Linked DNA regions of Oryzias latipes. The protein of the gene in region 1 purifies or fractionates together with the protein of each later gene. This does not show direct contact. Links are inferred from orthologs where the notes say so. Each region holds a gene or a part of one and is shown in the gene's direction. Other genes may lie near its edges.

The links. The genes of interacting proteins can lie anywhere in the genome.
Region 2: the proteins of ocrl (region 1) and fam109a purify together in Homo sapiens (co-immunoprecipitation; 5 studies listed by BioGRID and IntAct, counting the BioPlex papers as one, with this or other methods). This does not show direct contact. The link is inferred for Oryzias latipes from reciprocal best matches to the Homo sapiens genes OCRL and PHETA1.

The regions. Positions count from the first base shown.
Region 1 is NC_019868.2:9,844,926-9,849,236, forward strand, and holds the start of ocrl (inositol polyphosphate 5-phosphatase OCRL-1), read left to right. Parts: upstream 1-1,508; 5' UTR 1,509-1,886; coding exon 1,887-1,928; intron 1,929-2,257; coding exon 2,258-2,337; intron 2,338-4,311. UniProt on the Homo sapiens protein: Catalyzes the hydrolysis of the 5-position phosphate of phosphatidylinositol 4,5-bisphosphate (PtdIns(4,5)P2) and phosphatidylinositol-3,4,5-bisphosphate (PtdIns(3,4,5)P3), with the greatest catalytic activity towards PtdIns(4,5)P2.
Region 2 is NC_019867.2:7,425,192-7,429,304, forward strand, and holds the start of fam109a (sesquipedalian-1), read left to right. Parts: upstream 1-1,313; 5' UTR 1,314-1,991; intron 1,992-2,447; exon of another isoform or gene 2,448-2,451; 5' UTR 2,452-2,515; intron 2,516-4,113. UniProt on the Homo sapiens protein: Plays a role in endocytic trafficking. Required for receptor recycling from endosomes, both to the trans-Golgi network and the plasma membrane.

The DNA.
Region 1 (4,311 bases):
TGTGACTGCTCTGGTTTCTTCCCCAGGCAATGGCTGCTGGCCCCTGGACTCAGGAACTCAAGATACTGGAGCTGCAAACCTGACGCATGGTGGATCTCGCAGCCTATTGAACGATCAAACAGCGCCCCCACACTGCACGTTGGGGGCACTAACAAATACAAAAGGTTTATTAGTGGTGCCAAGAGACAGCTGTGCACAGAGTAGGCCCTCAGAATAAGAAATGCTATGATTGACTCTGCTTGCTTTCTTTATAACAGTCTTTATTAAAAATCATAGTCATAATTAAAAAGAAAATATTAGTAAAAACAGCTGAACTCACCTGACCCATTCTAAAAATTGTGCTCGCTTTTTAAATGGGTCTCAATTGTGTTGAAGGGTTAAATTTAAAGCATATATGATCATAAAAATACATAAATATCCAAACTGATTTAAACCAGTTCCTGGTTTAAATGCACATACAATATATTCTTCTTCCTTCCTTTGTAGAGAGGCTCAGACCTTAAAATCTGTTAGATTGATCTGATGGGATGAGTGCTGTAAAGGTTGACCTGCTTCATTTTTTGGTGGTTTTGAAAGGAGTTGGCTTTACCGGGCTCTAATATGTGGCACATTTAGAGGTTTTGCATGTCAGCAACATTTTGCTGTAAAACTTTGTCAACGGTCAATGAAGGAAAATAAAAAATGTGCCTTTTACCCGTTACAGGAAACAAACTCTAACATGTAAGATTTATGCAGGTTGATCAAAATGGGTCAAACAACCGTTTTGAACAAATCCTTCTGGGAATTAAAGTTTGATAAATATAAAAGACATCTGTGAGGCAGTTTTTGTGAGGCATCAGTTCTGTACAAAATGATTAACATTGTGGGCTGCTTCAGATTGAATTTAAAGCAATCTGAGCTGAGTAGTTTGTTTCCTATCACTGTGTTGAGATCACATTTGTTCTAAAGTAATTTGTTCTAAAGAAATGATAACATAACTGTACACTACTAAACTGTATGTAAAATAAATTGAGTACAAACATATTTAATATGTACTGAAGTGTAGAAGCGTCTTGCATTCTATTAAAAAAACAAGTGATCTTTGTTCCTAATTTTTTTTGTGTTTTAAAAAAACAACAACAAATAAAATAAACAACAACTGGTGTTTTTCATTCATTTTTTTTGTTCTAAATAAAGCAAAGACCTACAAACAGGCTGGACACTAACCTCATCTGCTCATGAAAACTTTAAGCTAACCTGCATTTAAAAACTCAAAAGACATGAAAAACATATTATTATTACAGTTATGGACAAGCTCTATAAAAACCTACTAAAGCCGTGTCCCAAATGATTAGCTCAGCTAATAAAGGTTCGGTTTAATAAATATTTTCTCTGAATAACTCAAAAGTAAAACATATTTGAAGCATGGGAAAATGTTGATGAGCTAGAAGTGTAATAATTGTGCCAGGGTTGTAGTTCCGACGCCATACCACACGGGGGCGGCAACGCGCCGAATTGTACTTAGAAAACAAAACGCCTCTCGTTGTAGGGAGGAGTGGATTCGACACAACAAACTCTTTTTGCTAATGTTGTAGTGTTTTAGAAGTTTTTTCAACTGAAACTCAACCTGATCTTATTGGAATATCCAATTATTTTAGACACCATGTTGGATCCAAACCAGGATATGTTGGTCGCTCCACTCGGTTGATCATTTCCGAGTCCTTCCAGCAGCTCCAACAACAGCTGGCTAACCAAACAGCCCTTTGCGTTAGCAGCCGAAACCTCGGAACAGCTGCCGGGAGGAGGCCGCCTCGCCGGGTGGGCACCGTCCCAACTTCATCTACCACGAAAACGGCGTTTATTTATTGTGGTGTCAACATAAACCGGACAACGGGAGGTCTGTAAGAATGGAGTCCTCTTCGGGATTATGCGACAATGAATGCCTGGCAATATCCTTTGAGTTGTGTTAAGTGCTGTAGTAGCTTGATGCTAATGGACGAGCTGAGACGTTTTTCTCGTGTTTTATGGGTAAAAATCAGTATAACTGGCCCTCTGACCTTTATTCACAGCTGTATTGACAAGTGTCATGTTACTAACGCCTTAAGAAACATTTCCTAATCCTTGTCATAACGACGCTAACTGTAACTGTGCTACATTGGAGCCATCTTTCCTGCTCCTTTGCTGTCTTATATTCTTGTGGCATGGCTTTGTAACGCGCTAAACTCTGCTAGCAGCTCTGTGAATCCGTCTCTATGAATCCTTGATTGTTGCTGCTCACACTGTCAGATGTCAGGAGCTGAGGTCTGGGGTGAAGGAGCCCAGACTTCTGTCACTCATTTTGGAAAATGGGGATTTTGTGTAAGTATTAGAGTTCTGTAGTTTCCTCTAAATTGTTCTCTGACAGGATATTAAGCCATGATTTAGATAGTGCAGCCTGCTGGTTTAAACCATGCTCCATAATCCTGAATTATTATGCAAACAGTCTGATGTTCACATTGTTTAAAGGTTTGATTTATCTGGTAAAAGGACACTTTTGCATAGATAAACAAAGATACTTAGAGGATGGAGATATGCACATTTGTTATTGTGGTTTAGACCAATGCTGCGATTACAAAAAAAAAACAATATTTTTTTAACACACACTAAAGTCCCACTCCAATCATCTTTTGATCTATTTTTAAAGCGTCACCGGTGCTCTTGTTACAATGATTATACGTTTTTTTAGCTCAAATTAAAAACAATTCTGTGTCGTTTTCTAGGACATAGTTTCTGCAGAGCGGCAGTAATACTCGCCACTGACTTGTTGGTACAGAAGTAAGCCTCCGCTGATGTCCCATTGTCCCTTTTATTTACATGCCCTCTCGCTGGCGTCCAGCGCCTCACGGCCCCAACCTCACATTACCAGTGCAACAAAAATGATGAGCAATATCGGAGCTATCCTGCTGTATAGTTTGGGGCCAGATTCCAGCTCGGATGAGGAAAACAAAGACGTACATTTGTCTCCAAGTGGATGCATAAGCAGAGCAGTGAGCTTGTGGCCCGGCCGGTATATTTTCTAGGAAACAAATAAGCTCTTTTTCAAACTGCATTTTTTTCATCTGCTCCTTATTCCCAATGATTTAAATAAAGAAATACTCAAAAAATGCATTTTAAATTTCATTTTCTTGATATATGTCCTCTATGATCAGAAAAATACCATAAGAACATGTTAAAAACACAATTTTCATTGGAGTGGGTCTTTAGGACATTTTGAAAGGCAAAGAGAACAAGCTTCCCACACAAATATCCATCTTTCCACTGAGATTTGCTCTCACTCATAGCTTCACTCCCTCATCCTTTGTTATCCTTGACAGTTCCGCTGTTTGTTTATGTAAAATCAATATTTAAGGGTGTCAACTGAGAAGGAGGACATAACTTGTGGACATTTCCACCCAGAGCCAGCTCACAGATGATCCCGAATGCCTGCACTGCGTCCTAAACTCTAATGAGACTCACATGGGCTCGCAGACAACATGCTCCGTCCCATAACTGTGTTAAAACCACAAACTAAAACCCGGAGTCGTAAAACAGGGACAAAGTTCCTTGAGCACTAAAAAAAACAATATTAGTTGAAGCAATGTCATAAATTCTGCATTCATTAACTGCTTATTAATGAATTGGTGTCAAACCTTATGTTTTTTTTTATTGTTTCTTGGTTATATTAATTAAGGTTTTTCTTTTTTCACTTAAATTTTTCTTTGTTTAGAACGGGGGCCTGCAACCTTAAACACTCCAGGTTGATTTCCCACTGACCACTTTTATAAAAATAACACTTATTTGTATTTGGTATTGTTATTATTATGATAAATATAAATTATATATTTTTTGGTTAAATAAAACATGAATGGAAAGAGAAAATAGTTTTCTTTTTCTCTTCAGTTCATAGTTTTTGACAGAAGTTTACTTGACTTCCTTTCAAAATAAAAGACACCCTGAGCCTCATAGGATCATCTCAATGCAGGAAATACAGGTAGTGTTATCTCAGCAGTGACAAAAGAATAAAAAACTGTTTTTTATGTTTATGTAGAAGTATAATTTATAAGTACAGAGTCTGTTTAAATACTTACTTACTTTGTAATTTACAATATATTTTTAAAGTTTAAAGCTTTATTTTGGAGGGGAAAAGATTGCAGACCCCTGCTTCAAACCTTCTTTACAGCTTGACAAGCTGTATTTGCTACACTGCATCCGCATGCATCCACCAATAAACGGTGGACAGGTAGAAAACCCCAAAAGTTCCTTTGTTGCTTCATATTCATGTTTTTCGGGGATTTGGTTGTCACCTGCCCAGCC
Region 2 (4,113 bases), on another chromosome or scaffold:
ACACTTAAACCTGCTCAACATTTACGATAAAGTTGGAACCTGATCAGCCAATCAGATGGCATTAACTTTTAAACATGGTCAAGGTGACCTGCAAGGATTCAGTGTGAGTATCACAATTGGAGCGAAAGAGGATTTGAACGAGTGAGATCATTTTTTACTTCAGCCTGGAAAGGACTATGTTTTTATGGATCATTCTGACCCAACATTTTCTAATCTTCTCCTGTCCAATCTAAGTGAGTCCTCAGAAACTGGTGGCTCAGTTTCCTGTTCTTATCTCTGACAGGACTGACACTCAGCATTATCCTCTGCTGCTGTAGTCCACCTGCCTTAAGGTTAGACGTGTTGCGCATTCAGAAGTGGATTGCTGCATGCTTTGGCTCTAAAGGCTAATTATTTCATGCCTCTTTCTGTCATCAAGGACCAGTTTCACTGTTTTCCTCTAATCTCTAACATTAAGAAATCACCTATTATCTCCATTCTAATACCCAGCTTAATCTTCATTAAGTGTTCTGGACTAATATTCCACCTTAAAAAAACATAAGCAGCCTTATTGTAACTGTTTTTTAACAATTTAGCTCAGTGGTGTTGAACTGGAGGGCAGGTGATTTATCAGATACTCCAGTCTTGCCTGCCACTGATTAGCTGCATCAGGTGTCCTTTAAAAAATAAAAAGCTGCAAGGCAGGGTTAGTTAAAAAAAAAAACTAGCAGGATTCTCACCCTTGAGGACAGCGGTTTGACATCTGTGCATTAGCATAAACTATTCTATACCCCAAAACACAGACATAAAAGCAACTGCTGTCTTAATAAATCCTGTGCTATAAGAGAATACTATGAACCATTATTTGAAATCACTTCCTGAAACCCCTTAACAATGTTATGCTTTATTTCTGTTCTTGTTATATGAAAAAAAATCTATTTTAATTTTTTAAAAAGGAGGGGAAAAGTAGATCGAATATGGTTCTTAATGAATTTTAAAATAGCACACCATCATTCCAGACATATTCATATTTATGATTTCACATAAATATATTAATTATGTTATAAAATATAAAATATATAGTGTTAAGGACAAGGCACTTGTCTGAGCTTGGCTGGTTAACAGCGTAACTGTGCAAATGACCTTTTTTTGTCTTTACTTGACAAATATTTTCATACAAAGTATATTTTATGTAAACTTTTTTGCAAGTAGCTTGTAATATTCAAATATTGACTCAAAGTTCACCCACTGCCACACAAAGCAATCGCTGTATAAAGACACAATCTGGGCTTTAAAAGTTTAGAAATTCTGTTTGGGATTTGTTTCCTCAATTGGAATGAATCTCAAAAATATGTTTACTTCCTTATTTATTTATATTTGCTATTATTATTATTACTCCAACTATCACAAAATGGGATAATTCAGATTCTGAGTACTCACAGGAAAAATAGTTTGATTCTATGAAATGCAGATCTGATTATCTGAATGCATTTCGAAAGAGCAGGTCTTCATTTTTACACAAATGCGTGTTTCTGATTTGACATGGGGATAATCACCAGGCATTTGCCTAAACGTGGAGATGATTTGTGAATGTGGGGATTAAAATTGGATATTAGTTCTTATTTCTCTGTTAAAGTAGATCCAGAAATATTAAGAAGGACTCACACACCCAAATAAAGTATTTTTTATGTAAGAAAATCCATTCTTGTTTTATATGCGTTTGTTTTTCAGCCAAATTAGCTGCTAAAATGCCAACTTCTCAAGGGCAAAGATGGGGTCCGCGTGTTATTTGTAGCCGTGCGTCCCGCTTCATCTTCTTCACCATGCGCCAACGGAGTTGCACTACAATCTTGAAGACACCCCCCACTACAGATGACCAGGTGTAAAATACAAGTCTCATGTTGAAGGCGAAAAAAAAAGGTCACGTGACAATGGAGCAAGAAAAGAAGGGGGGAAAGATATGAAGAGCACGTAAATGATAAACAACAGAAATATTGTAACTTTTCTAGAAGGTAACATCTCTTTTTTCTTGTCTGATAGTTGCGCGTTTTTGTCACAACTTGTAGACGAGGAAAGGCTAAACAGCTGAATTGCAGCTTCGGCAGAGTAGCTGAACGCGTAGCAGCTAGGAGTTCTGGCACAATAGGTGTATATTTACACACAGTTTAGCTCCCTGACGTTTCTTTTTGTCCGAGTGACTAAAACCTATGTCTGCAACTTAGGACATTTCCTCTTTTTTCCTCACTTTAGTCGATTTATGAGTTTCTTCTTCTCGTCGACTCTGAATCATCAGCTAACACACGACGAAGTGGTCAGAGAGAGAGAGAGGGAAACAACTGATCATGATGTGGAAAATATTGTGTCGTTTAGTTCTAAAACCAGACAGTCAGCGTCCTCTCGGATTATTAACGTATAGATAACCAGCTAAGTTAACGTTGTTTTGATTGGTGCCTTTCTTGTATGTGAAGGCAGACAGAGGATGAGCTGAGATTCCAGGTGGGATGAGTGAGAGAGAGGACTCCACTGTAAAACGCACGTGAGTACTATCAAATCCTACATTTGCTTTTTTTTTAAAGGAACAGGTGTACCAACAAACAAAAAACTTACATTAGTAACACTAAAACAGACGGACAAGAGATGTTATATTGTTGGCGAATCATGAATCTGAAGTGAATCAACTATTTAACTTTAAACCAGAGCTTTCCATCTTTTACCAGGTATTTTCATGATATTCTTTTCCTCCAATAACTCCTTTTCTCATCGTATATTATTGTTTGAACACGTCTAATCCAGGTAATCAGCAGTAACTATTAGCTGCAACAATTTACTTTTCCCACAAGTCAGTTCAAACCACGATGCCAATCTCCCGTTCCACCACATCCCAAAGGTGATCTATTGGGTAAAATAGTGAACACGTCATGTTCAATTAACCCGTCTGAGATGATTCCAGCTTTATGACGTGGTGCCTTATCAGAAGATGGTACACTGTGGTCATAAAGGGATGGACATGGTCAGCAACAATTCTCAGGCAGGGCGTGGTGTTGGAACCATGCTCAATTGGTACTTAGGGGCCTAAAGTGAGCCAAGAAAATATCCCCCACACCATTATACCACCACCACCAGCTGAACCGTTGATACAATGCAGGATGGGTCCATGCTTTCATGTTCTGACCTTACCATCCGAGTGTCGCAGCAGAAATGGAGACTCATCAGACCAGACGACGTTTTTCCATCTTCTATTGTTCCGTTTTGCTGAGCCTGTGTGAATTGTAGCCTCAGTTTCCTGTTCTTAGATAACAGGAGTGACACCCGCTTTGGTCTTCTGCTGCTGTAGCTCATCTGCCTCAAGGTGGGACGTGTTGTGCGTTCACAGATGCTCTTCTGCAGACCTCGGTAGTAACCAGTGGTTATTTGAGTTCCTGTTTCCTCATTATCAGCTGGAATTCTTCCTCTGGCATCAACGAGGCATTTCCACCCACAGACCATTCTCTGTAAAGTCTAGAGATGGTTGTTCGTGAAAATCCCAGTGGATCAGCAGTTTGTGAAATCCTCAGACCAGCCCGTCTGGCACCAACCACCCTGCCACGTTCAAAGTCACTTCAGTCACCTTTCTTCCTCATTCTGATGCTCAGTTTGAACTGCAGCAGATTCCCTTGACTGTGTCTACTTTCCTAAATGCTTTGAGTTGAACGATGAAAACCCTTTCTGTTGGCTTTTACTAAGCCTGGTGTAATAAATAAATAAATAATATATCACTATACATGTCTGACACTTTCAATGTAAGCATATTGGTATGCAGCAGGAACGGTACAGTAGTGTAACATACAGATCAGTTTAAAACTGATGTCGGCATCCCGACTGAGTCGAACAGTGATATTTGCAACCCTCTAGGATCAGAATAACTTTTGTGCTGGGTTTAAAAATGAAATGATTCAAAATGCAAAAGCCTTTAACACATTTATATGTTTAGTTCTTTTTTTTTTTGTAAAAAAAAAAGGCTTTGTGAATATTTTTTTTATTAGTGAAACACATAGTATAGAGTTTTTATTACAAACTTCAAATGTCAAAACCATAAAAACACATAAAATGTACAGAACTATTTAAATATAAGTAAAACAAAAATTATAAACTTCA